Linked DNA regions of Ovis aries. The protein of the gene in region 5 interacts with the protein of the main gene of each other region in a pairwise test. Links are inferred from orthologs where the notes say so. Each region holds a gene or a part of one and is shown on either strand. Other genes may lie near its edges. The genes, in order: EWSR1, DCP1A, RASSF5, ATF7IP, SMAD4 and PIAS1.

Region 1 (4,983 bases), on a different chromosome or scaffold from region 5:
TGTTGCCTCACTCCCAGGGATAAGCCTGACCACATATTCTACATTAAAACCTCAGTCAAAAAACACTTCTAAATATCAGTACATTTTTACCACTTTTTTTTTTTTTTTAATTTATTCAGATGAGAAACAGTGGCATGAAAGCAGATAAAGAGAACCATGGAAGTCACATTTTCCAGGTGCAGTTGAGATGGGTCAAGTTGCAGGGCATTATTTTTTCAAAAAAAAGTTTACCGTAATCATTTTATGTTTAACTTAAAGATCCATTCTCACACCAGTCTTGATGGCTAGGCCAAGGCCTTTCTTTTTGGCTTAAAGAGTTCATCGTTCTGCCTTTTGTCTTAATTAGCCGCACCAGCAACTAGTGTCCGGTTTTGGTTTCTTTAAAGTAGAGGAAAAACAGGTTGTCTCAGATTTATTTTTTTGTTGCGTTTTCAAATGAACTGTCTGAATTGTGTCCTCTAGTGTTAACTTGGTTTTGATAGAATTAACATTGCCCCTTTTTGTATTCATTTCATTGGCTTATGTATAAGCAAGCACAGCTGACTGGTAAGTGTCTCTGTACAGCTTGGAGTAGAAGGGGGCAGGGTTCGAGCAGTTCCTCCCAAGGGCCCACCCACACCTGTCACGTTGAGAGCACTGAATCTGGCAAGTGGAATAGGTGCGCTTGGTGTGAAGAGAGGCTTTTGAGTCCTTACAGCTTCCCAGGGGCTTCTCTGGTGGCTCAAACAGTGAAGAATATGCCTGCAATGCAGGAGACCCGGGTTTGATCTCTGGGTCTGGAAGATCCCCCTGAAGAAGGGCATGGCAGCCTACTTCAGTATTCTTGCCTGGAGAATCCCATGGACAGAGAAGCCTGGTGGGCTACAGTCCATGGGGTTGCAGAGAGCTGGACACGTTTGCGCAAATAACGTTTTACAGCTGTGGTAAGGGAGGTGCAGATACTTAAAATCATTGTAGTTAGAATTAAAATTGTATTATGCGTTGTGTTGTTTTTCACTGTCATGGTTCATCTAAAGTTTAATATTTCAAGCTTTATTTCTGTGTAAGAGTATCTTTGGTTAGTTTCCCTTCCCTTTAGTTGACATATGTGAAGGTGAATATCAGTCTGATATTCATTTTTCATACAGTACCTTGAGTCTGATGTTTCCTTGTCCATCTTTTCCTTATTAATGCCCAGATTCATAGACGATCAGGCATGTCTGGAAGTCAGGAGCTATGTACACACCAAAGCAACTTGAAACTTAGGCTCAGGAAAAAAGTGGCCACCCAGACACACATCAGGTGGCCTGGTACCTTCAGAAAACGAGCCGTCACTCCAGGGCATGATGTGGGCAGGCAGCCTGGGGACTGAGCACCATACCGGGCTGCCTCACTTTTCTCGGTGCCGTTTCCTGGGTCAGCCTCCCTGGGAGCACAGTCTTCCCTTAATACAGGAAGCACCTAGGCTCCCAAACGTGCCTTGAGTTTGGTTGAGAATAACTATTGTTCTGATGAGCACGTGTGCTTGCGTGTGTGTGCTCAGTCATGGCCCACTCTTTGCGACACCATGGCCCTGCCAGGCTCCTCTGTCCGTAGGATTTCCCAGGCAAGAGTGCGAGAGCGGCTTGCCGTCTCTTCTGCAGGGGGCCCTCCTGACCCAGGGATTGAACCTGTGTCTCCTGCATTGGCAGGTGGAGCCTCCCAACCCTCCACTGCCATGCCACCTGGGAAGCCCTGTTTCAGTAAAGGTGGGGGTGGTAAAGGGGGAGACTCTTAATTAAGGTTGTACATTTTATAGATGGGTTTGTTTTGTGTGTGTGTGTGGTATAATACCCTCTCCTATTCAGAACTTAAATACAAAAATACTTGCTCATTTTAAGTTCAGTGTGTTAATATGTAAAAAGTAACTGGAGTTTTAAGAGTTTCTATGGCACATGCTGGGAACGTCTCCTACATTTAGGGGACCTAAAATAACAAGTCTCTCCTAACAAACTGTTTTGTTTTGTTTTTTCTCAGCTACTCCTCTACGCAGCCGACTAGTTACGATCAGAGCAGTTACTCCCAGCAGAACACCTACGGGCAGCCGAGCAGCTACGGGCAGCAGAGTAGCTATGGCCAGCAAAGCAGCTATGGGCAGCAGCCACCCACTAGTTACCCCCCCCAGACTGGATCCTACAGCCAGGCTCCAAGTCAATATAGTCAACAGAGCAGCAGCTACGGGCAGCAGAGTGAGTTGCTAAGAGAGAAAACCAAATAAGAATGGTTGTGTTTGGAGTTTCTGAAACGGGGAAACACTCTACCACTGTGTGCTTTTGAACTCCAGGATGCATCTTGAGGGTATCATATCCTGGCTAATAATCCTGGCTTTTCTCCAGTTTAATTGTTGTTAGCATGCCTTAGGAGAAAAGAGAGTTTGTAACTGACCAGAGAAAAAGTTTCAGACTGCCAGCCCTGCTCTCTGGGGAGGTTATATGCAGTGAGTGAAGCCAGCTTTTCATATGGCCTGCCCACCCCAGCTCATTAAGAGAGCGTGAGCAGGTAGCTATTGAAGACTCTCGAAGTTTTGATAGTTTAAAAGATACTGTATTTTGATTTTTTTGTGTACATTCATAAGACAAAAATTTTTGTGGAATGCTTACAGTTAATTTATGTGGAAAAGTAACCAAAAATTCAAAAAGTTGTCTTCACAATTTAGTCTGCCTGGATTGTTGTCTTTAAAATGCACCCATGAGTATGTCTCATTATGACAATGAGTCGTGCTTCTTGATGGAGACGACCCCTTAGCAACCCCAAGAAACCTGACTCCATTTTTGTTTGAGTATGGTTTAAAGACCAGTTTTTTAAGGCATCTTGGGATACAGAACCCTGTGAACTGTTGGTCAGAGTCCTGTTTTTGTTTGAGAGTGGTTTTTTCCTAGGCAAACTATATGAGATTACTTCAGCCTTTTTTGTTGAACTTTATGAAAAGCTTACTGATGGGGGACTTAATCAGATGTAAAGAAGATGATACCTCGGTTAGTGCCTTGCACTTGAGAATTCTATGATTCCAGGAGAAAGTACAACAGCAGTGGTGTAAATGCTGATCCATGGCTTACAGATGTGACTCTTTCCTCAGGTTCATTCCGACAGGACCACCCCAGTAGCATGGGTGTTTATGGGCAGGAGTCTGGAGGATTTTCCGGACCAGGAGAGAACCGGAGCATGAGTGGCCCTGATAACCGGGGCAGGGGAAGAGGGGGATTTGATCGTGGAGGCATGAGCAGAGGTGGGCGGGGAGGAGGACGCGGTGGAATGGGGTAAGAGCAAACCTTTTCTCCTTTTACCTAATTTTGTTTCATCCATAGGATTTTCAGTGGAAAGAAGGGACTGAAAGACATAGGAAATTTATTTCTGCATTTCCATGGATAGTCTGATGAGCCCAAGCCATCTTGCAAACATGGAAATGTCATCTCTGTGGCATATCTATAGAGGCAGTTTGCTTTTTTCAATGCCAGTTGACTTGGTTGGGTTGGGGAGAACAAAGAATGGTTTTGAAACTAGAGCTTTCAGTCCCCTTCCTGGTTTCCAGAGGTCAAAAGCCTCCTGGGTAATAGATTTGGGATGGAACACACACAACCCTTCTAACAACCTTAGGTGTTTGACTAATTGCTTCTGAATGATTGTCTTGAAATACGTGGTGTATATACTGCAGAAAAGGAATGCAGCTGTTTTCCACAATGTTTGTCCCCAACTTCTGTTTATACTTGGAACTGTTGAACATAATGATGAAGATCTTGGTCCCATAACCCTTGAACTATGGCCTGAGGTGCACCTGGTGTACAGAGAAGTCTAGTAGCTTTGTGCAGAGTAATGTATATAATTGTGGAATCACTCTCCCCAGTGGAGATTTTGAGAAGTCTAAATCGGTTTGACCATTTTGATGGATGGAACGACCTGGTTTAGAAAACTTTGTCTAGAGTAACGTGAACCTGCTACCCCGCCCTTCCCCTCCCTCCTCCCGCACCCTTTTCCCTTTCTGGTGTCTCTACTTTGATGAAGGTGAGGTGAAATGTTGGTTAACATAATCCAGAAGGCTTAGTTCTGTGTGTGTTCTGTCCCTGTATAAACTAGTGAAAAAAAGTTATGCAGAATGTTGGTATAAGTATAAATTGGATTTGGTGCCACTGTTGGTTCAAGGAAAAACTGAATATAATTTCTTTAGAAGTGTACTTCAAGATTAAATATATAATTGATTTTTAAATTTTATATTAAATCTGTTTACTGCTGAAATACTGGTTTAAAATACTGTTTTGCATATTCTGCATAACTTAAGTCTTTAGTGAAATCTTTATTGGAAGAAAGTCATTTTATAAGATGCAAAAATTTATGAGTAATTTCGTATAAAGTAGAATCAATCTTCTGATTTGGAGAATATCATTCCATTATAAAGGTTTCACTTCTTTACAGATGTTTTAAATAGATGTAGACACTTGAAATCACTATCATCACATCTCCAATCATTTAGACTCCTTAGTATTTTTCAATTGCAAAACCAATTTTAAGTTTACTCATTTCAATTCTCCAGAAGTAATCATTCTACTAATTTTGCTAGATTTTGCTAGTAGAGGGTGTTCCCTCTTTCTCTGAGAAGTCTCTGCTGAAGCCATAGGAAACCCTGTGGCTCTCCCCACAGGCTTCTCAGCAGACTGACGCGGTCCGCGGGACCCTGTGGGGACAACACAAGAGCCCCCCCTCTTTTTTTTTTATTGTGGTGTGGTGATGGTTTTCAGTGTCTTCTGCAGGTAAGGCACTCAATGTTGTTAACATGCCCTTTCTCATTGCCTCAGTATTTTGATATTTTCATTGGCTGTTAAACGTGGAAACTTTTTAACATGCTTTGTCGCATTTATATGCTACAGGTTACAAAGTGAGAGCCTTGTATACACTTCAATACTTAAAAAGTACCCGTACTCAGTACTCAGCCGGCAGCATAATGAAAAGTGGGACTAGACACGGTGTCCATAT
Region 2 (5,536 bases), on a different chromosome or scaffold from region 5:
GGTTCTAATAACAGTTGAAGAGCTTCTAGAGATTTATATTGGTAATGAATATTACCAGGTAAAAGATAAAGGTCTTTTTTTTTTAAAAAGGAGAAAGATGAGTAACAGGGAACAAAATGTCAACAAGAAAGAGTAACATAAAAGCACTTAAAAGGAAGAAAAAAATCAGTGTTTTTTAGACAAGATCTCAAAGGTACACAAGACAATTTAGAAGAATATTTGACAAATTCTTGTTACAATCCATAAATAATTTACCACACACACACACACACACACACACACACACACGAAAAGAACCAGGTATCAGTAATCCTGCTGAGTTTCCTAAGCTTTAAAAAACAAGAAAAGGCATCTATCTCAATCAGAGTGAGAGTTAAGAGGGATCCAGGAAAACAAGAAACTTCAATGACTAACATACCCTTGTCAATTGCCTTTAGGCCAAGAAAGTTGCCAAACAAAACCAAACCTGCAATTCACAAACCAATCATGTTTACGACAATTAATTCTCAGAAAAGTTGAAAGTTAAAAATGTGCAGTTATGAGTAGTCCAGGCTTTCTAAAGGACTCTCAAACTAAAAATACCTATTACTAGACACTGTACACAACTCAAAACTTTTGGGTAGCTGGAATGGGGAAAGAACCAGAGTCTTAGAAGATAACCTTTTAGTTCAGTAATCACAGAATAGTTAGCTCCTGTATTATATTTTTCTCAGTTACGTATCTGTTTTCCTAATATGGGGAAAAGGAAAAAGGCATCTGTTTTAGATTCATTCATTACTACAAAATGTTTTCTATTTTGCTAGGTTCCTAAATAAGTTCTGTTTGATTCTGAATCATAGGAACTATCAAAGAAGGGACATTACTTGGTTAAGATTTCACAGCAAGAGATGGATGAATACTTGGAAGGGTCAAGCAGGAAGTTCCAAAGACAATACAATAGGGCTGAATCACTCTACATGACAATGTTCACCATCAAATTAAAAAAATAATAAGTTTTTAAAAAGCTTACCTTCGATATACAAATAAGGTCCCTTCTATATCGGTCTTCTCCTGTAACAGACAATGAGTCAATTAGTTTTTTCCCCCATAATCTAACCCCAAGTTGTCCCAGTGGAGACGTCATGTTTAAGATTAACTTATTTATTTTAAAATTAATTACTCTGAACAGGTCAAGCTTCTCTCTACAAACTACTGTTACCAGTTTCTTTTGTATCCTTTTTAGTCTATTGATGCATGTTAATTGATATGCAATGTTCTATCCAGCAACATGCCTGTATCTACAGTAACTTTTCTTTTCTTTTTTAAAATTTAAAGGAGAAAAAAATCTAGAATTAGCTTTCATTTTTTAAAACTAAAATGTTTTAGCCAAATTTCTTAATTTTAAAGCCAAAGTCTGTATACAGTCATTACTTCACCTTTAAAGTTTATCAAAGTTAGTAGGAGAAAAAAAAGAAATTTTATCTTACAGGACACTGTTTCATCATTTGGGAGATTCCGGCATATTTTCCTGAGTAGCAAATTTTGTAGTTAGTTAAGAACTACTGTCAAACACAATTAGTTTGTTACTCTTAGACCTTTGTTGAAGAATCATGAGTACTGAAATTCTACTTAGTATAATTTGTATAGGTCTTACAAATAATTTAAAACTTTTTTTTCGCTTAAAGTAAACGTTTTGATTAAAAAAGTACAACTCATCATCTTTCATTTGCTGTGACAAGAGTGTATTTAGGTTTTAAACCGTTAAAATGTTTTGTTTTTTTTTTTAAATTAGTCTACAATTCACAGGCCAGATAGGATCTAAACAGTTTAATGCAGTCAGCAAACTATTAACAAACTTAAATGTTAGTCATATAGAATTGAATTTGGTGGGATGAAAAAAAGAACTTTAAAAGATATTTACCATCTTGATTTCTAACTTAAACATTATCATGGAATTTTTCCTTATGTATTTCTTGCCTTTCAAACTTTATTAATATAATAAATTGGTAATCAATTGCTTCACAATGAAAGAAAATTTACCCAAATAAACAACTGTGTAAAGTTACAAATCACTGCCATGATACAAATGAATAACGGCAGCTTAGTTTTCAATTCAGGTTATTTCAGCTTGTATTTCATTCAGCTTGTATTTAAAGAAGAATGGCACAATTAAAATTCCAAAATATTGGAAGTCTGTGACAAACTAGAAATAAAAGCTTATAGTAATAAGCCCATGCCCCAAATATTCACCATTTGTCTGCAATCCACACTCCAAAAATGTATATGCACAGCAAGAAAAGAAAAATGGTCCAAAACAATTTAAACTAAAGCAATATCTACTAAAACAGTCACACTTAAAAGAAAAAATCTATAATTTTGTTCTGTGTGGCTTGCCATACCTCCTCCTATTCCAGGAGGTGAAGGAAAGACGATACAAAGTAAAGCAAGATGACTCTGAAAACCCTCTGCATCTGATTTAACTGTTTATAAATGCGAAATGATTTTTCACAAAATTAATGATTAAATATAACCCATGTATCTGCATTATGTTGTAAAGAATATATTATGATAATAATCTTTGTTTTGTTAGTACAAGGACTTCAATTCTTATTGAAACGTGAATGTGAATCATTTATTAATTCAATCCAACAAACATTTACAGACTATTTTTAAAATAAAGCCTATATAGCTAAATGAGTTAATCAAGAAGATTCATATTTTTAAGGGAAATGATGTTACGTTTATTTATATTTTATTTAGCCACTTGCGTGGCTTGTTAGATCTTAGTTCTCCGACTAAGGATCGAACTCTTGCCCCCTGCAGTTGAAGCGGGGAGTTCTAACCACTGGATCGCCAGGGAAGTCTCGAAATTCTGACATGTAAACAACAACCGAAGCTTCAAAGCGGCTAACAAATCAGTGAACTAACTGAATGTAACTTTTCGCAACCTCTCTCGTGCAAAAAAAGGCAAAAAGTACTTAAGTCTGATGCGCGTATTCAGAGGTGACATCACCAGCAGCATAGCTGAAAACACGAGGTCTCTTGTCCAAAGGTTTCAAGGTAACAAAATTAACATGCAAGCCCTTTTCCTAAGTGCCTTGAAATCTTTTCCAAACTCTGGAAACACAGTGTAGTTTGATAAATGCGGGACGTATCCCCACCCTCTCGCCTTTCCAAGAACTGAAACTAATTGGAATTCAAGCTTTAAATCCTAATAACCTCTGCGAAGGGGGTTCTGATTTATCTATCTGTTGGGGGGAGAGGAGTGTTTACTTTATAGATTATGTATACATAATTTATCTAACAACTCTCAAAGCTTCAGACAATCTTACAGGCGTCTTTCTGACTCCATCGGTCTCAAATCCTCCAACACACCTGCAAAGAAGGCAGGTCGCCCACATCCTCGAACTGGACCCCTGGGGACTAATCCTTCTTCAACCCTCCCCTCTATCAGCGTTCCCCCCGGATGTTTGGACCTACTTCCCTCTCTCCTCTCACCCAATCCCCAGCGGCGCCGACACCTCTCAGGCGCCGGCCAGGCTCTCCTCCAGTCCCTGGCCTCGCCTCCGCCACCGTGGCCTCCCGCATCGCCCCCTACCCAGGTCGGTCGGCGCGGCCCCTTTAAGAGACGGCGGCCGGGAGAGCGACTTCAGCCACCTGGCTGCACTCACCCACTGGTTGGCCTTGGGGCAGAAGGTGTACAGTGCGACCTGGCCCGTGAGGTCTGCGATGCTGGTGATGTAGGGGTCGTGTTGCTTCAGGGCTGCTAGGCTCATCTCTTGCCCAGCTCGACTCAGCGACTCCATCTTGAATTCTGGAGCCGAGCCCCTCTGGCGGGGCGGAGTCGAGGACAGGAAGGTGCCATGGAGGCAAAGTTCCCCCAGCTGCGTCAGCGCCCTCAATTTCCGCCTCTCCACCGGGCCTCGCGGCCGGGCGGTACTGCAGCTATTATGCTCCGCTGAACCTACGCCCGGGGCACCGGGTTCCGGTGTCGTCAGGTCCCAGTGGACTAAGGTTCGAGGTGGGGTCCGCCGCCGCGTGGCGGAGCAGAAAGGCCTGGGCGCAGGTTCTTCTTTTCCGCGGGCTGAAAGGTACCGGCGCTCTGAACAAGGCTGCTCTGGAGCTTTCTCACCGTTCCTGCCGGATTAGTTTCCCGTGGCCGCAGACTGGAAACCTAGCTGCGTCAAGGCAGGGCTCCAGGGGCGATTTAGAAAACAGAAAAGCGGGGAGAAACGGGGTGGGGGTGGGGTACCTCGGAAAGTACCCCAGATCTCAGATCTATTTGTGTTTTTATAAAGGAAGTTTTTGAAAAAGCCAGACTAGCCTGTCTGTAATTACACAGAAATGTCTTTTATTGTCAACTTATTTTCTTCCTCTGAATCCCACGAAAATCTTTATCCAGTTTTGGAAAGAACCCTTGAAAAGTTGTTTGCCGTGCATCATTTAAAGCTTTAAAACGGTAACTCATCCTTTTAGCAAACATCTGCTTAATATTTTAAGGCATTTTAAAAGAGCCAGTTACTAGCTAAAGAGTAAAACAAGGTGTGGAAGATAAAGGGAGCTCTGCCCCTTCCCCCGCCCCTCCCCCGATTTGTTATAAAAAACCTTTTCTTATACTGAAAAGATAACCGAGAGGTGTCTGTGGCGGCCCAGTGGTTGACTCCACCCTTCCAGTGCACGGGGTGCAGGTTGAATTTTTTTTGACTGAAAAATACTATTGACTCTAATAGTTGTATTGTTTATGATTTTACATCCCGAGGTCGTTATCGGAAAGATACTTAATGTTTTACATTGTTGGCAGAATCACGTTACATGTACAAATGCAGAAAAGGAAACATATTCATTTACTGTTTCTTTAGCAAGTATTTTTGTTAGTAGCTCAGCCGTATCTGACTCTTTGTAATCCCATGGACTATAGCCCACCAGGCTGGTCTGTCCATTGCATTCTCCAGGCAAGAATACTGGAGTGGATTGCCATTCCCTTCTCCATCAGTTCAGTTCAGTCGCTCAGTCGTGTACAATTCTGTGCCCATGAACAGAAGCACGCCAGGCCTTCGTGTCCATCACCAGCTTCGAGAGTTTACCCAAACTCATGTCCATTGAGTCCGTGATGCCATCCAACCATCTCATCCTCTGTCCTCCCCTTCTCCTCCTGCCCTCAGTCTTTTCTAGCATCAGGGTCTTTTCAAATGAGTCAGCTCTTTGCAACAGGTGGCCAAAGTGTTGGAGTTTCAGCTTCAACATCAGTCCTTCCAATGAACACTCAGGAATGATCTCCCCCAGGATAGACTGGTTGGATCTCCTTGCAGTCCAAGGGACTCTCAAGAGACTTCTCATTTCAAAAGTATCAATTCTTCGGCACTCAGCTTTCTCTATAGTTCAACTCTCACATTGATACATGACTACTGGAAAACTAAACAGACCTTTGTTGACAAAGTAATGTCTCTGCTTTTTAATATGCTGTCTAGTTTGGTCATAACTTTCCCTCTAAGGAGTAAGCATCTTTTAATTTCATGGCTGCAATCACCATCTACAGTGATTTTGGAGCCCAGAAACA
Region 3 (4,983 bases), on a different chromosome or scaffold from region 5:
CCCCACTACCCCAGGGCTACGAGGCTTCAGAGGACCCTCAGGAGCTTTCCCTGGGACTCCCACCCCCACCCATACCGCACCCCGTGGCTGGAGCCCTAGGACAAGGCAGGCTCTGTGCCTGGGTGGACTACAGGGCACTTCTCAAAAGCAGCAGGCGTCCCTGCTCCTTCCACCCTGTTCCATGCCCCCAGCCCCTTGGCAAGGGGTGTGCCACCTGCGATTTATCACAAGAACCATATCCTTGGTCTCTCTCCGTTTCCGGCACAGAGCTCCAAAAACCCTTCGAACTTCCCAAGTACAGAGCAAGAAAGATGTTTCCTATGTTGATGAAGTGACTTTGGACCCCACCTAAGGATCAGGAGAACCTACCAAGGGTTAGGATAGGAAGTTTCCCTCCCAGCTGCCAGGCTTCTGGGGACTGGGGAGGGGCTGAAGGATGGTTGCCAGTGGCCAGGGAATTGATCAGTCCTGTCTGTAAAACCCCGAAAGGATGGGGCTGGAGAGCTGGGTGGGTGAACACAGGGAGGTGCCGAGAGAGCAGGGCTGGGAGAGGGCACGGAAGCTCCGTGTGCCTTCTGCCTACCTTGCTGTCCGCATGGCTTCCATCAGGACGTTCCCCTTACATCCTTTTATAATAAACTGGTAATCTAGTGGGCCAAAAATGCCTCTGAGTTCTGTGAGCTGCAGTAGCAAAGTAACTGGGCCTCAGGAGGGGGCTGTGGAACCTGGATCTGTAGCCAGTGGGTCAGGGGCACGGGTGAGAGCACGGCCTTGTGACCGGTATCTGCAGTGGTCATGGCGGGGGTGGTGGCGTGCGCAGAAAGTGCCAGAATGGAGCTGAGTCATAGGACACGCAGTGCAGTGGAGGATTGCTTTGGCGGTGTAGCCACCTGCCCCCTGCCCCATCAGAACTGGGTGAAGAATCTGAGTGTGTGCCGTGGACCTCATCTGGCGAGAAAGGGACCCCCGACATCCGGTGGGAACGGGACCCTGACATCCGGCAAGAACGGGCCCCCGATATCCTGCGGGAACGGGCCCCCGACATCCGGCAAACGTGGAACATCCGGCAAACGTGGAATATCCGGCAAACGTGGAACATCCGGCAAACGTGGAACACCCGCGCACCTCCCACTCACCAGAGCCCGTGGGGGTGAGGGGAGCCCAGACCCCTCAGAGGTCAAGCTCCGCGGTCCGTGCTGCCTACCTGGCTGAAGGTCACGGCGAGGGTGCTCTCTGGAGACGGCCTATCCCGGGAGGCGCCGTCCTGCCGAGCGCAGTCCAACTGGATCAAGCTGCGGCACTCCGGGTGGCAGGTGAATTTACAGTCTGGAGGGAGAGAACCGCAGGGGGATTAGTGGCCAGAGAAACGCCCTGGGGGCAGCATGCGGCTCCCAGAGGGAAGGGCGCTCAGGAGGGCAGCGGAGGCGAGCGGAGGGGAGACCCCAGGGGGGAGTGTCGCTGGCTCCCCCTGCCACCGTGCGCGTGGAGGTGAGGGGGTGCTTTACAGCTCCCAGACTGCTCCCACCTCTGCTGTTGCGTGTGGCCCTGCAACCCTTATTACTGCTGCTTGCTGGCTCAGAGGTTAAAGCATCTGCCTGGAATGCAGAAGACCTGGGTTCGATCCCTGGGTCGGGAAGATCCCCTGGAGAAGGAAATGGCAACCCACTCCAGTAGTCTTGCCTGGAGAATCCCATGGAGGGAGGAGCATGGTAGGCTACAGTCCATGGGGTCACAAAGAGTCGGACACGACTGAGCGACTTCACTTTCACTTTACAGATGGAAACTGGGGCCGGGGGACTTTGATGACTTTCTCTTAGGTCATCTCCCTTCAGGCTGGCGCGCACTCTACTAATTTCTGTTATCCCATTGTTATAATCAACGTCACCTGTCTCTGACCCTACCCCATCTAGAAATGTGTCAGCTTCTCTAACCCGGCTGACACAGCCTAAAGACAGCATCCCAAACTAGGTGCCTCTGGGGAAACCTCACCTTTATTTCCTAAACAATGTTCACGTCTATGGAAGTAAGACTCAACGCCCAGAGTTGAGAAGGGCATAGGGGAATACCTTCAAGATAGGGACGCTGAGGCTCAGAGAGGTAAAGCCAGGTGCCCAGGGACACACAGCTCACTGGCTGGGCCACAGCTGCCTCTCTGGAACCTCCCCGGCAGAAGGGAGGTGAAGCTGAAGAGGGCAGGAGGCAGTGAGGCTGGGACCAGTGAGGGGAGAGGGTGTATGGAGGATGGGAGTGAAACAGGACGGCAGCAAGGGAAGGGAGCACACGCCCACAAACAGTGCCCCGATCTAAGGCTGGCTCCCCCAGACGGGCAGTGCCCCGATCTGAGGCTGGCTCCCCCAGACGGGCAGTGCCCCGATCTGAGGCTGGCTCCCCCAGATGGGCAGTGCCCTGATCTGAGGCTGGCTCCCCCAGACGGGCAGCGCCCCGATCTGAGGCTGGTTTCCCAGGGTGAGCAATGCCCCGATCTGAGGCTGGCTCTCACAGAACCTGCTGGGCCTGCCAGGGTCACCTGTCCTGAAGGTGCGGCAGCTCAGCTGGAAGGCCCAGCTGAGGAGGCGGCCACAGTGTCCGTGAGAAGGCTGCCCGATGGTGATGTGGGCCTGTGGTGGGGGGGTGGGGGGGGGGGGGCGGTATGGCAGCCTGGGCCTGTCTGGGTAACCTGGGGACGAGGAAAGCTTCTGATTGATGAGGCCTTGGCCTCCTTCCTTTCAATAAGCTCCAGAACCTCGGCACATTGGGATTGCCTTCTTTAAAAAAAATTTTATTAATGACTTGTGTGGTTGTGTCGGGAGTGTGCAGCGCTCAGGGTCTTCCTCGCGTCCTGTGGGATGTTTTGTTGAGGCATGCAGACTCTCCAGGTACGGCGTGCCGGCTTCAGTAGCTGTGGCACACATCCAGGGATGCGGGATCCTCGTCCCCCAGCCGGGGGTTGAACCCACGTCCTCTGCATTGCAAGGAGGATTCCGAACTGCTGGGCCGCCAGGGGAGTCCTTGGACATCATCTTAAAGCTGTGAAGCGCTGTGCGGGGGCTGGTGGTGAAGGTGGGTCTCCTCTTCTCCCCAGGCTCTCGGCGGGGGGCAGGGCGGGGTTCGGAGTGAGACCACCACTCTTTAAGCCACCACCTTCCCTTCCGTCCCCAAAGATGAGTGCAGGGACCACCCTCCTTGGACAGTTTCTGCTGTTGATGCCACAGCATAGCACCTGGGGATTCCAGAACTCTGGCGCCTTCTGACTCCATGCTCTGAAGTCCCGAGCACCCTCTGGGATGGCGCTCAGGAGCCCTGCTGCTCGCCTCCCCAGTGCCCGCAGCCAGGCCCACCATGATGCCTCCTCCTTCACAGCCCACCCAGGCCTTCCTGGCCCTCCTCCAGGGAAGCGGTCTCGCCTGTGCAGGGGCTGTGTGGGGCCCACTCGGAGCCACACACCATACCCCTCCCAGTGCCCCCATGCATTCCTGGGCCCCCAGAGGATTCCTGCCCAGTGTGGGGACTACCTCACCCCTGGCAGGGTGGAAGGCAGCGGGGAGGGTGTGCAGGCTGAGTCTCTGCTGCCTGCAGTGCCCAAAAATGCCAGGGCTTCAATAAGGGAGCCCCGAGAAGCCTTGCTCTGGGCCCGCTTCTGGGACACATCTGTGCAGCTCCCGGTGGGCTCAGAGCGTGAAGGATGCTCCGGGGCTGCCAGCCGGTGGGAGCCTGCCAGCTCTGCCCCGAGGGAGGGCTGCCCCTGGCTCCCAAAGGCAAGAGCATCTGGACAGAGGACGCCGCCCTGCAGTGTCTTCTTTCAGCTGTGTCCTGCCAACTCGGGCACCCTGAGTCCACCTGTGCAGCGCAGTCTCTCGGTGCCTGTCTGTCTCTCACTGACACACACGCACACGCGCTCTGAAAAGAGCATCAAAACCACACGGAGATTTACTTACTTTTTTCTTACGGGTCTGATGCTGAGCTGCACAGAGCCAGGGAACAGAAGAGACCAGGAGGAGTGGTTCGGGATTTTATAAAAACACACTTGAGCACCAATGAGTCTGTCCCATCAGACCGCGGAATCACAGACCGGAGCAAGACCACCAAAGCACGTCTTGATATTTCCTGGCCCCCAGAAACGCTAAGCCCAGGGCTTTTAGGCCAGCAGAGATGAAGTCAGAGTCCTCAGGCCTTTCTGCGCACCAGAAGCCGACCCCACCAGCACAGCCAGCAGCCGGCAGGCCCCCAGGGCTCTGAGTACGGACAGTCACAAGGCTGCAAAGGCAGGGCCGTGTTCCACCGGGGCCCACCACTTCGGCCCTCATGGGCCACGTTTCCCCCGAGACGGAAGGAAAGATGTTGGCGCACCCCCAGACGGGCCCTTCTCCAAGGAGGGGCCCGTGTGTCCGGATGGGGAAGGGCTCCTGGGGCACCCTCAGACCCAGGCCGTGCTGGATTCCTTGCTGCCCTAACAAAGCACCACCCACCAGGTGGCCTAGAACTGAAATTTATTCTCTCTCAGTTCTGGAGGCTAGCAGTCTGAAATCAAGTGGTCAGGAGGGTCACGCTCCTCCTGGAGACTATAGGAGGACCCTTCTTCCTTGCCTCTTGCCGGCTTCTGGGAGTGTGCTGGCAAGATCTCTGGTGTTCCTCGGCCTCTAGCTGCAGGAGTGCAGTCTCTGCCTCCACCTCTGAGTCCAGCCTCCTTCCGTTTCCCCATAGCACAGGACAGGTCCCGAGGGCCTGCTGTCCCCGTGGGCTGTGTCTGCACCTGGTCACCTGCACGAGACACCAGTCATATTGGGCTAGGGGACTCTACTACCGGAGCACGGCCTCTTCCTGTGCTCTGCTTAGTTGCTCAGTCATGTCCGACTCTGCGCAATCCCATGGACTGTAGCCCACTGGGCTCCTCTGTCCTTGGGGATTCTCCAGGCAACAATACTGGAGTGGGTTGCCATGCCCTCCTCCAGGAGGTCTTCCTGACCCAGGGATCGAACCCAGGTC
Region 4 (5,489 bases), on a different chromosome or scaffold from region 5:
AAACAAAAAAACTGCAAAAAATATGAAAAGCAATTTTCATATTCACAAATAACTGTTACAAATAAGAAAAATATTAACATTTACCCCAAAAAAAGATACACAAAATATCCTCAAACAGCAAAGTCAAGAAAAATGAGAAAGTTGCATATATATTAAATGTTTATAAGTTCAATTTCACTAGTTACCAGGAAAAAAAGTAAATAAGCTGCTGTTTCTCAACCACCAAAATCATGGTGGCGTGGGAAATGCTTTTCAAAAAAACTAAGTTTTTATCTATTTTGTAAATTATTTTAAAAGCCCTTTGAAACAGCAATTTCAAAGAAATAAGATACAGACTCTGATTCATGTACAACATATTCACTGTAACTTTATTTATAATAGAGAAACGCAAAATGAACAAAATATTCAATAAGGAAAGTCTTAGTACATTCTTATTAAAAACACTGGTATTTTGTGGCTGTTTAAAAATGTGTTTCAAGAACATTTGATAATTTAGGATATTTTCACAAAATGAATATCATGCAATCATTTTTGAAAAACATACTTCTAAAGAACAATGAAATGGATAAATATCCACAATATAACAATAGGTTGTGTGTGCATGCTCAGTTGTGTCCAACTCTTTGCAATCCCATGGACTGTAGCCTGCCAGGCTTCTCTTTCTATGGAATTTCCCTGGCAAGAATACTGGAATGTGTTTCCTCCTCCATGGGATCTTCCCGACTCAGGGATCAAACCCATGTCTCCTATACATCTCCTGCATTGCAAGCGGATTCTTTTCCACTGAGCCACCAGGAAAGTAAATAGCCACAATACGGCAGTATGTGTGTACGCATGTGCTTAGGTTAAGGGGCAGGAATGAAATTATGATCCAAAAGATAAACTAATTGATCAATCAATAAATAGGAAAGTCACAAAAACATTTAGTGTGTTTATTTCTAATTAACTTTTGACACCTTCTAAACGTGCTAAAACAAGTAAAAAGTTTTAAATATCAATATTAAAATCACAATTTAAAGAAAAAAACTTTAATGGCTTTGGCTTAAGTATTCAAATCTTTTTTTCCTGAATTTTTTGTTTAAAATGTACAAATCTAAAAGGATTTTAATTGACTCCCAGTAACAGAATTAATTCAGTATTTATTCAATCTTAATAGTAACTTAAATTCCAAATCATGCCTGTTATTCAGAGTACTAATGAACAAAAAATATTAGACGTTCAAACAGTACATTATTCTTAGTTTAAGTTTATAGAACTATACTTGCCTTTCTAACCAATGTGCCCATCACTACAAAACAGCAAAACTGTCTTACCAATACATATTTACCTAGTTCGTTATGTTCTTCAGTGTTGTCAAGTGCCTCTTGTAAGCTTCAACATTAACCTGAGGCAATCATTTGTATATGCAAATGAAAACATAAGTTTAAATATATAAAACAAAATATTTCACTTTTCTGAGAAGTGCAGAATGAAACATGTTCTAGACAGAAGTTCTTTTCTTAACCTAACTATGTACGCATACACAGACACAGAAAAAAACATGTTTCAACTCTTAAATATTTGAAATTATATCTGGAGATGGAAGGGGTGTGCTGGGTAATCAACCTGGAAGCATAAAAGGGGGGAAAAAAAAATCACACAACTGCCCTCTAAATATATTTCTGTGTAAAAGACTTGGAGGTTCAAAAATTATATCACAACAACAAGTACTCTGTTCAGAAAAAAAGAATTATTTCTATCACTGCATTCTATGCCCTGTGTGATGTCATTTTTTAAAAAACCCATCAACCAAAAGTATTCCTTTCAACTACATCTATTTAAATCTTATTAACAGTACCTGTAGGCAATAAAGTCCCTAAACCAACGAAGATTATAAAGCGACAGCCACTTCTTCATTTGACAAGTGACTAATTTAAGAGTTACATAACCAAGAAAACAGTTGTTGCATATACAAGACAAAGATGACATTTATGACAACCATTTACAAGTTTTCAGGCCAGTAAGAAATAATTTGCACAATGGTAGAATTCTATTAAATCGTATAAAACTTCTCCCAAAGGCTTACCTAAGATTTAAATATAGTGACACTACCATTTTAAACTAAAATAATCAGGATACTTTAAGAAACTAAAACCAGGAACAGACAACTTTAAAAACCAAACACAAACTGTATCTTACACACATTTATATATAGCAGGCTGTTTTTTTAATCAACTGATTTATTGATGATTCACAATCTCCTCATAAAGGCCTCAGGGTAGTTGGGAGTTCTTTGTAGAATTCTTTATCAGGAAAATTTACCGAGTTTGAGTTATATTTTACATATCATTACAATTTTAAAAGTCAAAGTAACAAATATAATCTAACTGAAGCAGTACTAGACATGCAATCAAAAATAGAAAAAATGCAAGCAAGGTCAGAGGCACACCACTGATTAAAACTCCACCGACTGAAGATCCAATTATTTAAAAAAATATAAACACTTAAGGAGATTAAGATTTCTTTTTAAAACATTATATAGATTCTTTCAATGTCCCCTCCCTCTCATATTTCCAAACCTCAAACTGTTCCTATTTTGAAAACATTCCATAATAGAACTGGTAAGGATAGGGTTAAAAATGTATTTGCAAATATGCAGTTCAAATAATTGCACTTCCCGTGAGAACACCACTAGGTGCTGATCTTTAGCTCCCTAAATATAAACGTGAATCCAGCAATACACTTAAAGTGAAATTAAAATCGAGAACCACAAATGGACAATCATTTTTACACAAAATTAAGTCCACAGCTTCTCAGAAAATAGGAGAAATACACACACACAAAAAAACTCTCAGGTCGCTACAGGAATACAGCATAAGAGAAACGTTTTCTTTGAAAAATATAGAAATTCCCGTGTAACAAAACGAAACCCCTCAAGAATGAAAAAAAATTAAATCTAGAACCCGAATGGCGTCCAAGAACATTAGATCTTGAAAATGAATATTGCGCTTGCGCAGCCACCGCCCCGCCAGCTGCACAACTGCAGCTAGAGCCCGACCCCGCAAGATCACGTGCTCCCATGCAGCGCCCGCCCGCAGCTCCGCAACCGCGCAGGCGCAAACACAACTCCCGCAGCCGCCATAATGCGGTCTTGACTCTTAAGAAATACAATAGTAATTTAACAAAATGTGGTTATAACAGCCCCTGGGACTCACATATACCTTTCGGGGCGGGAGATGAGGCAGGAGGAACCAAGTTCCGTCCTACAGAGTCGTCCCGCGCAGCCGTCCCCACCGCTGCCGCCTCAGTCTCGCGCTCCCCACTCGCCGCGCCGCCGCTGCCTCCGCCGCCGCCTCCGCAGATTCAAAAACAAACCCGCTTCTCCCTTGCACGCGCCGGGGCCGTTATGCAAATTATTGTAGGCGGGGCTCCGTGGTCGTAATATTGGCCACGCCCGCCGTGCTTTCAGCCAATAGGCTCCCGGATTAGCTGTTCCCCATGCAAATCTCCAGGGTTTTTATTTGAATGAGAAATATTGGCCCCGCCTCCTGCCGTGGAAAAGAGAAGCTAGTCTGAGGTGGTGGCGCTGCGCCCTTTAGTTGCAGTGAGGTGTGTTTTTTGAGTGGCGCATCGCTCAACCGGTGAGTAGCACTTTGTGAGCGCCCTCTATGAGCCTCAGTAAAGAAGGAAGGAAATAGGTGGGTGAAAGTTAAAAGAGCTAGGGCAAGGTTTTCGAAAAAGACTATAGCATGTTACTTTATCGTGTATATTAAAAACTCGGAAAATATACTTTAAACTGTGTAAGTCACGAGAGAATGGCGCAAACATCTTTTTTTTCAGTTGTTCTCTGCCAGAACAAGCGCTTCCAGTTGTACCTTTCAACCTGTTGTATCCCTGTTACTTAGTTTTTTACTGTGAGCCAAACCCTCATGAAGGCCACAGAGTGCAATTAAAAAAAAAAAAAAAAGCTGCTCGTGTTTTTTGAAGAATCTGGGCTTACGTCCAGTTACTCCTGCTTACTTGCTTGTTACTTGGAATAAGTGTTAGTCAGTTTTCTCATCTCCAAAATGATAATAACTGTAATTCAAATCAGTTGAGGAGGCTAAATGATTGGATAAATGTAAATGTGTTCTGCAAAGCAAAAGCAGACTGACAAATGGATAGTGAGGTTTTTTTTTTTTAATATCATTAGTAAACCGTGATGCTTAATCTATTCATTCAGTATTTATTTAGCAATGAGTGTGTTCCAGACCTATATTACTTTGCCTGTCTTTAAGAAATCTCTACTACAGTGGAGAAGACAAAAAAGTTAACAGGAAGTTTTTGTAAATAATTAGAAATTAATGTGGGGTGGTTAATATTTATTTCTATAATTTGATTCTGTCCTTAGCACAGAATATAGTACACTAGTGCTCAATATATTACAAATAGAGGCTCAATTATAACAAATTATGTATTATAATTTAACACATAGTGCTCAATTATAAAATAGATGCTCAGCAAATTACAAATCTATCAATATTTAAAATTCTATAATAAGAAATGAGGTTGGTATAGTAGAGTTCATTAGCTTTCTCTTTGTCTTCTATAAGCAACCAAAAAGGAATAATTTTCATAATAGTTCATTCTTAATTGTCTTGGCTAATGACAAATACTTGAACATGAACTCACCAATTGGGCAATTTTCTTTCTTGCTCATATTCTAGACTTGCCACCCCAAAACTCCACTTAGTTTTATTGTATTTTAATCTTCCCCCATATATCCTCAATGACATGTTTATGGGCGCTTTAGCTATTCTACCTGCTGATTAATCTAACCAATCATTCATTGTTTCAATCAACAAGTACATCGTTTATTCTTTATTCACACACTTTCCGAAGCACTAGAGATGCCCAGAGGAAATGACACTGCCTCTAATCAGGAAGGAGTCATATATACAGATTCCCATTATGAGATCATTACAATCATGAGGTTATATACTAAAAATAAAAGAAATATAAAACAAGAGAACATAAATCTTCTTGTGGAATGTAGGAAAACTTCACAGAACAGGTGATACTTGATCTGACTCATAATGTAGAACTTAAAGTGGCTGTCAGAATAGGTACAAAAGAAAGAAGATTCAAGTTAGGTAAAACAGAAATGCAAAGGCACTGTAAAGAGGAAAAGGTGTGGCTTAAATTTATAATAGGATGATACTTAGAATATTTATCAATCCTTGTGGTACCAGGCACTGACCAATTAGAATAGAAGAAGGTTTGAAGACCCCTAATTTACCAGATGTTGACGACAGAGGATGAGATGTCTGGATAGCATTACCAACTCGATGGACATGAGTTTGAGTGGACTCCGGGAGATGGTGATGGACAGGAAGGCCTGGCATGCTGCGATTCATGGGGTCGCAAAGAGTCGGACACCACTGAGTGACTGAACTGAACTGACCTGAACTGAATCTTCTAGTTGTAGGTTTCTGGAGAGGTCCAGGGATTCTTCAGCTGAGCATTGAGAC
Region 5 (4,983 bases):
AAAAACAAGAGCTTACAGTAATGTCCGGGATGGGGCGGCATAGGCGGGTGGTGCTGAAGATGGCCGTTTTGGTGGTGAGGCAAATTAGGTGTGTATGGTGCAGTCCTACTTCCAGTCCAGGTGGTAGTGCTGTCTAAAAATTAAGGCCCACATGGATTAATTGGCTTTTATAAAGTCTGCCTATTTTTTCTCAACTACTTAAAAGATTTTAAAAAGCATGTACATACTATGATGATAAGTAGCTGGCTGACCAGTAAATCCATTCTGCTGCTGTCCTGGCTGAGGCCCTGAAGCTATCTGCAACAATCCTTCACTATGGCTGCCTGCCAGTATACTGGCGGGCTGACCTAGAGGAACAAGAAGACATTAATATGGTACATTTGTAGATGCAATCCTATGGCTTTACACAGTAAATGAAGGATTTTATACCTGAAAGTCACAACTATAAAGATGAGCAAAGAGTGAAGTCACCCATGGCCTACCAAATAAAAAACCCTGCAGTCATCTATAAAGGCAAACCTTAACCTGAAGAAGTTCAAAATTATTCTAATATCTAGCTAATTTTAGTGGCCCATTCTTCATAAATATTCTCCAAATGCCAGCAAAACCCCAGTACAGGTCTAGCCTATTTTAATAACTTCTTCAGAAGTACATTAGCTCACCCACAGCCACTCCATCTAGCTTTTGCATCTTTCTGTTAGGATTCCAAATGTCCAGGCTCAAGGAAATGTTGAAAATTGGAAAGCTCATTATTATCAGCAATGGTAGCAATAGCAGAATGCTAAAGTTCAATAAAAAAGCAGAGCAGACAAGTATTTTAAATGGAATGTAATGGTAAGGTGAGAAAGTTAAGAGGAAAAAAGGTAAGCTCCACTGTCCGGTTAACGCAGCATCTGCGAGTTTTAATAAATAAACCAAAAAAAAAAAAAAATCAGTCTATTGTGATATTTTCTCATGTACTTTTAAATATCAAGAATTGCCTCTAAGAACACTATCATATTCCTGGATTTACAAGAAATTAGTTGCCCTCTCTGTATGTAATAAAACAGGAGAACTATTCTATTTAAAACCATTCTATGAAATTGCTTACATTTTTAAGGCTGTATCTTTTGTGTGAAAAAGGCTAAATTTTTTCAAGCAAGTATTAAGTCAACTGTGCATCTCACTTGGAAAGCACTAAAATTCCATAATTATTGTTACTGGCATTACCTTAATCTTTTCTCAACCATATAGGAGTATAATCAGATAGAAGGGAGTAAATGACACCATTGCCCAAATATGCAACGAACAGCTCAAAGTATCAAGAAAAAAGAAAACTTTTCTTCCTGCTACAAATCAGATTTCTGTAAGGCTAAGATTATATAATTAAAAGCTAAAAAGACTATTTCAATACTCCCTAAAGTATTTATTTTTAAAGATGATATTTTCAGCAACCTCCCTTCTTACTCATCCCCCTCAAATTTTTACAGGTAATCTTTGAAGGTTAATTGCATATTTCCTCTTGTTTTTAACAACTGTACATGTTATATACTCTTAGCTATCTTACAAAAATTGTCACTATGCAGGAGAATTTGAACTATCTTAATTTAGAAAGAATCCCTGTAGATATTCAGGTTCCAATTGAACATAACGCCCACTACAGTTATCTATACTGAATACTTTCATTACACAATTCCAAGAACATAAAATGAAATTAAAACAACTCATGAAGTCTTTTAATTCCTCTATTTTAGTCATTTCCTTTTTCTAATTTTATCAATATATCTTTTAAGATCTAAGGGAACATTCTGCAACAAATTCTAAAACTTACAGTTAATTACTACTCATTGTGAAAATACATCCAAAAAACACCAAGACAAAATTACCCATATTTCATTTATACCACTTTTTCTGATCTTGACTAGGACTTGGTCCCAGTAACATTAATGGTTAAAATGAAGTTGCATGAGCAATCATCAACAAAGGCATGCCAATTCAATCCTCAGATAGTATCAATAGAGGTAAGTGGCATTAATCTATGCTCAAGTGGCTATAATGCACCTTCTTTTATTTTCCTTCCCCACCCACTCGTTTATCAACTATATTCCCAAACTGGTTAATACAGAGATAACAGAAGCACCAAGTGATTAAAGGTTCAGGCTCTAAAGTATGTGTTTAACCTATATGGTCCAACCTATTTGGAATATGCTGTCTGTATGAAGACTGTCATCTTGTGTAGGAAATACAAAGGATATTATTTGAAAAGGTAAAATAAAGCGGGGGAAATTTGGTGTACTTTATCTGAAATTCAACTGTAGAAATAAATCCTTCATTTGTTCCAAAGATCAAATTTCTATGTTGAACTTGATCTGATATTAAAATAAATAGAATATGCTTCCTTTGATATCAATATACAAAGTATCAGTCCAGATGCATCAATAATTTACTGCTGTTGTGGGCTGAGATACAATCTCCTTAGCACTGATGTACAAATAACACAGTAATACAAATGCCAAGACCCTGTTCTGTGAGTAATTAAAAATAAAACAGGAGCGATGCAGGGTGGGGACGCACTGGGAGACCGGGACTGACACACATGCACTGCGATGCATGAAGCTGCTAACTAGTGAGAACCTACTGCGCAGCACAGGGGCCTCTACTCGGTGCTCTATGGTGACTTCAGTGGGAAGCAAATCCAAGAAAAAAGACAGACATACATGTGGCTGACTCACTCTGCTATACAGCAGGAACTGACACAGCACCGTAAAGCAACTGTACTCTTTTTTTTAAAAAAAAAAAAAAGGCCACTCCACTGTCCAACATAAGGTCATTATTGCCTTGACCAGGCCCCAAGAAAAGCTGAACCTAATAGCCCTCTGCTTCCATGACACAGCAGAGAAGGCAGTACCTCTAAACTGGAAAGAATCTTTTCTTTTTTTTTTTTTTAATTTTTATTTTTACTTTATTTTACTTTACAATACTGTATTGGTTTTGCCATACATTGACATGAATCCACCACGGGTGTACATACGATCCCAAGAATCTTTTTAAAATACACTTCTTGTTAGGAAAAAAAAAAGATACATATAATTTAGCTTTATTTCAAAACTGACTAGAACACTTAACATCTATCCTGAGGGTCATATGTTACAAATAAATTTGTCAAGGTCCTTTTTTCTAATAAGCTTGTACAACTGGAGACTGAGATGACGATTATAAAGTAATCTGCCAGATAAAGCAAAATAAAAACACTGATTAGAGGAAAGTTTGCAATTCCATTAATACAGATTTCTATAAATATCTTGGTTCAAAACTATTTGTTCTCTACTTAAACATTTCTCTAAAATTTATGTGAAAGCTCAATAGACTTCTTCTGCATGTAATAAAGTACAAATTAGACCACTAATTTAAAGCATTATTTAAATTCCAAGGGACTATACATCAACATAAGACGGTTTATGTTCTGTTACATTAAGATACATTTAAACTTTTTAAAATTACAAATATTTTTTTTTTCCAGGACAACTCAAAAACCTATCTGATGCTTGTTAACCCATGAAAGATAACCACAGTACTTTTAATATTCACTTACTCGGACGTCCCCTCCAAGTGACTACCTATAAATATTCAATTGTTAGGAAAATTCATCTTGCTGACTATATCTGACTCTACAACTCACTTGTGGAAGCCACAGGAATGTTGGGAAAATTGGTGGTGCTGGTAGCATTAGACTCAGATGGAGCTAAGAGAGCTGGGGTGCTGTATGTCTCCGTCGATGCACGATTACTTGGTGGATGCTGGATGGTTTGAATTGAATGCCCTTCAGTGGATAATGATGGCTGTCCCTCAAAGTCATGAACATATTCATCCTTCACCAACATACTTGGTGGAGCTACACAGAAAAACAAACATATTTTAAAATCTTGTAAGCTTTTATTCCCAGGAAAAAAAATCTTGTAAGTAACATAAGAACACCTAAAGTCAACTAGAGTGTAACTCAGAATTTTCTCATACTACTTTAAAAGCATTCTACTTTATCAGCAAAAGCTATTTATTTAAAGATAGTGGCATCAGATCAATCTGATTAACTCCTTGAAATCTGAAGGCGACTAAATTACAACCACCTCCGGCTGTGGTCCTGAAAATGTATTTCTGAGCTTCCCAATTAATAATCTAAAGGTAATAATCACCTTAAATATATAACATAGGCAAAAATCAAGTGGCTAGAGAAAGTGTTTACCTCACTAAGAAGACCAAATTGGAGATCGACTAATTAATTTTTTTCCTCTTTTTGCCAATTTCACAGTGTAAAAATATGAGTGGGATCTTACAGCTATCTAATGCCAGGATCTAGCATTATTAAGTAATGTATTCTTTGAAAGTGAAGCATACTAAATGTCCCCTAAAAAATTAGAATGAGCAGAAAAATCTCAAATGGTAAGTCAAACTGAAATTTCCTTCTAGAAACCCAATCCAAATAATGATGCTTGATAAATACGTAGTGTGAAAAAACTCAATAAATAACATCTTTCTCCTGCATGGTTACACCTTAATGTAACCCTGTAAACTGACCCTACTTGATACAACAACTTTTTCTTGAACAAACCAGGAATAGTTAGTCAGCTTTACTGTGAGGAAAAAAAGAAAACTGAAATCGCGTTTACAGTATCAGTGGCCCTGCCCAGAATGGTCCCACTTCCTTTTAGGTAATAGTTTGGGGTTTGCTTTTTATCTTTAGCAAGCAATCCTTTACTGCACCTGAACTAACACTACCCTAAAATTTTACTATCTACTGAACTCTTAACACTAGGTCCTGTTCTTAGAGCAGTCAACGGTCCACAAAAAGCCATTGTCTTTTCCATTAAGAATCAGCATGTAATGCTCCTTATCTTTCTCTATGTCAATCTTTGAAAAAATCTATTACACATAAATATTGATTCATTACATGGCTATTTTTATTAAATTAGAACATTTCAAAGAGGTAAGAATAATCTATTGTTCAGA
Region 6 (4,983 bases), on a different chromosome or scaffold from region 5:
TGTAAACTGGATTTTGGCTCCAAGTCAGGACTTTTTTTTTCTCACTATGTTACTAACAGTTTTCAGTATAGTACATGGAATATAGCATAAATTCTGCAAACTTCAAATGAATTTGTGAATATACAAACTCATATAAAATTGTAATAATCAAAAATATTCTAAAATTGTGCCAGAAAAAGAATGCTAGGCTAAAAAACAATACAGCAAAGTGCAGAAACACACACAGGATAAATAAAAATCAAATATATAACAATGGTTACTTCAGAATTAGCATTTGTCTAGTTAATGGCGTTAGAACTGGCTATTTAAAAAATTAAATTTTTATTTCACATGTAAATTTACAATGGACTAAATATGTAAAGATAAAATAAGAAATCTCAGAAGTCAAGAGAAAATATAAACAAATATTTATGTAAGATTGGGAAGGGCAGATAAACTAAATCCAACAGAGGCTGAGCGGAAAGATGATAAAGAAACAAAACTATGCAACTAGAGATTATCATACTAAGGGAAGTAAGTCAAAAAGAGAAAGAATTGCCATATGGTATCATTTATATGTGGAATCTAAAATATGACACAAACCAACTTATCTATGAAACAAACAGAATCAAGGACATAGAAAATAAACTGGTGGTTGCCAAGGGGAACGGAGATGGGAGAGGGCAGGAGCAGGAGTTAGGGATTTACAGATGCAAACCAGTATATACAGAATGGACAGACAATAAGATCCTACTGAATAGCACAGTGAACTATATTCGATAACCTGTGATAAGCCACAATGGAAAAGAATAAGAATATAAATATACATATCTATATATAACTGAGTCATATATCCTTGATGTATAGCTGTAATTAACACAACACTGTAATTCAAGTATACTTCAATAAAGAATAAATTAAAAGAAAAAAAGAAACAAACTGGTTAAAATTTGGCTCCATAATAATTTAAATCTTCTACACATTAAATAATCACATAAATGAAAAGGCAATAAACTACAAACAAACATTTGCAGCATGTGAAAGAAGGTTAAATCAGTAATGTAAGAACTCATAAACAATAAAAATAAGAAAAACAGCAACAGAGAAACAGATATTGATATATTTTTAAAATGTGAATAATCACAAATAAATTTGTTCAATCTCACTAATAATAAAAGGAGTACTAATTAAAGCAATCTAATACCACTATTTACCTATAAAAATTAGTAGAGATTTCAAAGAAAATAAAACTCAAGTGTTATCAGTCAACAGGCATATGAAAAAACACTGAAAGTCAGAGAATAAATTTTTAAAACATCTTTTGGTAAGGCAATCTGCCAGTGAACACAAAATTTCTTTAAATTCTGATGGTCTTTGATTCAGCAATTCCACTTAAGGGAATTTACTCTAAAGAAAGTACTATGCGTGTATGCAAAGTTAGAGCTATTAGGATAGTCTTCAAAATGTTCTTTGAAGTAAACAATCAAATAAATGTTCAACAATAGGGAACAGGCTAAACTATAGATACTTGTATTGAAATATGATGTAGCTGTTTCATACAGATGAACATGAAATGACATAGGAAGATGTTTATGAAAATACTTAGTGAAAGTTATCATTATAAAATATTGAATATTACAAGATCCCATTTTAAAAATGGGAACATGTTGAAAATTCACTGTGAGACAAAAAATAAATCCTTTGGTAACTCATTTTATACCCATTTTATTTATATATAAGCTCAAGTAGCCACAGAGCTTAACCCTTCCTTATAAAACAAAAGTCTGGAAGAAACAAAAATTTACTCACTCTTCCAATTTCTGCAGTCCAAGAAACAACAATGGTGTTTGGTACAGTTGTAGACAATCGGACAAGTGAGGTGATATTAATTGGTCGGCTGGGTCGCTTTGGTTCCACACCATTTTTAGTAGGTGGAAGATAACCCTAAGGATGAAATATAACATTTCTATTTATTACTTCCACAACCATTTAAACTTCCATTCCTTAAAAAAAAACAACACCCTACAAACTACATATTAGAAAATATGAGTATTTCCATTTAAAAGTGGAGAAGCAAACATTTGTAAGAGTTTTCTGTACGTTTCTCGAAACTACCCTACAGTCTCATTAAAGTAAACCTGAGAAAAATATTGGTGATAGAACGTAAAAATCTGTAAAAATTTAAGAATCATGTTGAATTCATAAACAACTTGGATAAACACATAAGGGCTATTTTAAACGTGAGCAACAATAGCCCCCACTCCTTCGTTAAATGCACAGCAGTCTTCATATCTCCCATCTACCACAAGGTTTCAGACACAAGAATACATCTGAGGTTTGATGAAACAATCTCTTCATCCCAAAATTAAATAAAATACTAAAAGCTACCACACCCAACTCCAAGTCCTAGACTATGTCTCCATAGCTAATGTCACAGCTGTTAATTGGACATAGTTGGTACAAGTGTTTCACTCAGTCACATGAATATACATCCAAAATAAAGACGTTTTCTTAATGAAAAACTATGATTAACAACAGCTGTGATGACTTATTTGCTAGCTATGTTGGGAATGCACTGGAAAAATAGCTTTTAGGACTTACTGGAAGGCTGCAAGGTTTTGTATTCACTTTCACACAAAGATTGGGTGGGAAGTGATCTTCTTGTGGACAACTGGTTTCTGATAAACAAAACCTAAACAATAAAGAACAAATTTAATTTCCTTTATTAAAAGATGATCTCATTGATATTTTTGTTCCATAGCTAATCTAAAAGATGGGCAAACTTAACAGCAACAACTATTAAAACTAGACATTTCATATTACGAATAAATGCATTTAAATAGGATCAAAATAAATAATTTTGTCAATGTAGAGTTTCAATAGTCACAACTACTAACCTGTAGTTGTCCTCATAGTATTTCCAGTCATTTGTTCAAGCATGCTGGCGGGGGTAGGGGTTGGGGGGTTGAGGTGGGGTGCTCTGGGGTTGAACACATTTAAGAAATTTTGGAGAGTAACATGGAACCTTATATTACCATATGTAAAACAGATAGCCAATGGGAATTTGCTGTATGACTCAGGGAACTCAAATCAGGGCTCTGTAACAACCTAGAGGGGTGGTGTAGGGAGGGGGTTCAGGAGGGAGGGGACATGTATATGCCTATGGATGATTCATGTTGATATTTGACAGAGAACAATGAAATTCGGTAAAAGCACTCATTCTTCAATGGAAAAAATTCAATTAAGTTTTCTCTGTACAGAACATCTCAAAGCTAATAAGGACTGTAAATTTTTAAGAGGGAAATGTATGTGTGTGTGCTCAGTCGTGTCTGACTCTTTGCAACCCTATGGATGGTAGCCCACCAGGCTCCTCTGTCCATGGGATTCTCCAGGCAAGAATACTGGAGTGGGTTGCCATTTTCTCCTCCAGGGGATCTTCTCAATCCAGAGGTTGAAGCTGTATCTCCTGTACTGGCAGGCAGATTCTTTATCACTGTGCCACCTGGGAAGCCTGATATAACATATGGTATTTCCCAAACTTATTTGTCTATAATACATTTTTTTGGTTCTCAGCAGAATATACTGAAAATGCTAGAAGTCAAGCTCCAGGATCAAGTTTTGTCCACCAAGTTCAAGTGTTCCATTAGTTCCTGAAAACTGAGGATGTTGAATAACGACATTATTTGTATTATATCCACGTGTTTAGAATACTATTTAGAAACTCACAAAAACATTTATTTCTAAATTACATGGTAATCTTTCAGGAAAAACCAAGACAGCTACATAATTTGTACACTCTCAATCTTTTCATTCTTTTTTTTTTTTTCAATTTGGCTGCACCAGGTCTTAGTTGTGGTATGTGGGATCTAGTTCCCTGACCGGGTACCGAACTGGGCCCTCTGCACTGGGAACGTAAAGGCTTAGCCCCAGGACCACCAGGGAAGTTCCTTACTCTATTCATTCTATAGATTGAGAAATAGATTAATCTGCTATTTAAGACAACAATTCTCAATTACTTCCTTGTTCCCAATATAGAGCTAAGGTTCATCCCACCTTTACAGAATGTTTACAGAACTTTTTGAGTTATATGTTAAGTATGCTATCTCTGAATTCTATGAAATATTCATTGTTTTTACACAAGTTTTACACAAGAAGCACAAGTATCTTCTCTCAATAATCTGCCTGCCATGGAATCTGTGTGAGGGAAGGTCCACAAATGGGACAATTTTCTATATAAAATTTTATGGGTACATATATGGTCATCTTTAAGCAGGGACAATCTATAGTTTCCATTACATTCTCAAAGAGGTTAGAGAGTCATAGAAAGGTTTAGAATTACCAACCTACAAAGATTTTCTCAAAATATACTTAGCACACAGATATCAACACCCACAAGATCATCTCTAACCCCAGCAGAACCTTCTATGACAGGCCAGTTCTTCACACAGCAAAAGTCAGAGGATGCTCCAGTTTCAAATCAATTATACCAACACTGTGGGAAATTAGAAACATGGACCTGGCTGCCTGAAGCCACCGAAAACCAAAATCCATGTGACAAGTTGACCCCTATTCAACTATGTGAAAAGTGAAAATCTAAATTATTCTTACAAACCAAAGGTTTTTTTAAAAAAGGAACAATAGCAGAAAGTTTCTATACAGATGTTCATGGGGGTGGAGAGGGGAAACAGATAAATGAAAACAGATTAGGAATCTAATAGAGAAAATACTGATCTTAATTCTGACCAAACTGTTTTTCATGTTTTAGATAAAGACTTATAATTAGGATAGTAAAAGGTATACACTCCAAACTTAATATCCTGGGATTGCTGTGGGGAATGGGCAGTGTAGGGATGAAAACAATTTAGCAAAACACAAAGAACCACATAATAATTCCCCAGTATAATACAAAATGGTTCTTTTTCCATTAAGTTCCGGAGATAATTTGAATTTAAAATAGCTAAGCCACTCCAGTATTCTTGTGCTTCTCTGGTTGCTCAGACAGTA

Evidence for each region.
Region 1: the proteins of SMAD4 (region 5) and EWSR1 interact in binary tests that used the Homo sapiens proteins (3 or more experiments, as listed by UniProt). The link is inferred for Ovis aries from reciprocal best matches to the Homo sapiens genes SMAD4 and EWSR1.
Region 2: the proteins of SMAD4 (region 5) and DCP1A interact in binary tests that used the Homo sapiens proteins (3 or more experiments, as listed by UniProt). The link is inferred for Ovis aries from reciprocal best matches to the Homo sapiens genes SMAD4 and DCP1A.
Region 3: the proteins of SMAD4 (region 5) and RASSF5 interact in binary tests that used the Homo sapiens proteins (3 or more experiments, as listed by UniProt). The link is inferred for Ovis aries from reciprocal best matches to the Homo sapiens genes SMAD4 and RASSF5.
Region 4: the proteins of SMAD4 (region 5) and ATF7IP interact in a two-hybrid assay, tested with the Homo sapiens proteins (2 studies listed by BioGRID and IntAct). The link is inferred for Ovis aries from reciprocal best matches to the Homo sapiens genes SMAD4 and ATF7IP.
Region 6: the proteins of SMAD4 (region 5) and PIAS1 interact in a two-hybrid assay, tested with the Homo sapiens proteins (2 studies listed by BioGRID and IntAct). The link is inferred for Ovis aries from reciprocal best matches to the Homo sapiens genes SMAD4 and PIAS1.

Annotation. Positions count from the first base shown.
Region 1 is NC_056070.1:68,576,969-68,581,951, forward strand, and holds part of EWSR1 (RNA-binding protein EWS), read left to right. Parts: intron 1-1,995; coding exon 1,996-2,207; intron 2,208-3,094; coding exon 3,095-3,275; intron 3,276-4,983. UniProt on the Homo sapiens protein: Binds to ssRNA containing the consensus sequence 5'-AGGUAA-3'. Might normally function as a transcriptional repressor. EWS-fusion-proteins (EFPS) may play a role in the tumorigenic process.
Region 2 is NC_056072.1:47,748,763-47,754,298, reverse strand, and holds the start of DCP1A (mRNA-decapping enzyme 1A), read right to left. Parts: upstream 3,796-5,536; 5' UTR 3,786-3,795; coding exon 3,651-3,785; intron 1,051-3,650; coding exon 1,010-1,050; intron 1-1,009. UniProt on the Homo sapiens protein: Necessary for the degradation of mRNAs, both in normal mRNA turnover and in nonsense-mediated mRNA decay. Removes the 7-methyl guanine cap structure from mRNA molecules, yielding a 5'-phosphorylated mRNA fragment and 7m-GDP.
Region 3 is NC_056065.1:4,132,532-4,137,514, reverse strand, and holds part of RASSF5 (ras association domain-containing protein 5), read right to left. Parts: intron 1,327-4,983; coding exon 1,205-1,326; intron 1-1,204. UniProt on the Homo sapiens protein: Potential tumor suppressor. Seems to be involved in lymphocyte adhesion by linking RAP1A activation upon T-cell receptor or chemokine stimulation to integrin activation.
Region 4 is NC_056056.1:201,119,020-201,124,508, forward strand, and holds the start of ATF7IP (activating transcription factor 7-interacting protein 1), read right to left. Parts: upstream 3,388-5,489; 5' UTR 3,201-3,387; intron 1-3,200. UniProt on the Homo sapiens protein: Recruiter that couples transcriptional factors to general transcription apparatus and thereby modulates transcription regulation and chromatin formation. Can both act as an activator or a repressor depending on the context.
Region 5 is NC_056076.1:50,873,389-50,878,371, reverse strand, and holds part of SMAD4 (mothers against decapentaplegic homolog 4), read right to left. Parts: intron 3,872-4,983; coding exon 3,659-3,871; intron 348-3,658; coding exon 228-347; intron 134-227; coding exon 17-133; intron 1-16. UniProt on the Homo sapiens protein: In muscle physiology, plays a central role in the balance between atrophy and hypertrophy. When recruited by MSTN, promotes atrophy response via phosphorylated SMAD2/4.
Region 6 is NC_056060.1:14,946,478-14,951,460, reverse strand, and holds part of PIAS1 (E3 SUMO-protein ligase PIAS1), read right to left. Parts: intron 2,672-4,983; coding exon 2,581-2,671; intron 1,924-2,580; coding exon 1,789-1,923; intron 1-1,788. UniProt on the Homo sapiens protein: Functions as an E3-type small ubiquitin-like modifier (SUMO) ligase, stabilizing the interaction between UBE2I and the substrate, and as a SUMO-tethering factor. Catalyzes sumoylation of various proteins, such as CEBPB, MRE11, MTA1, PTK2 and PML.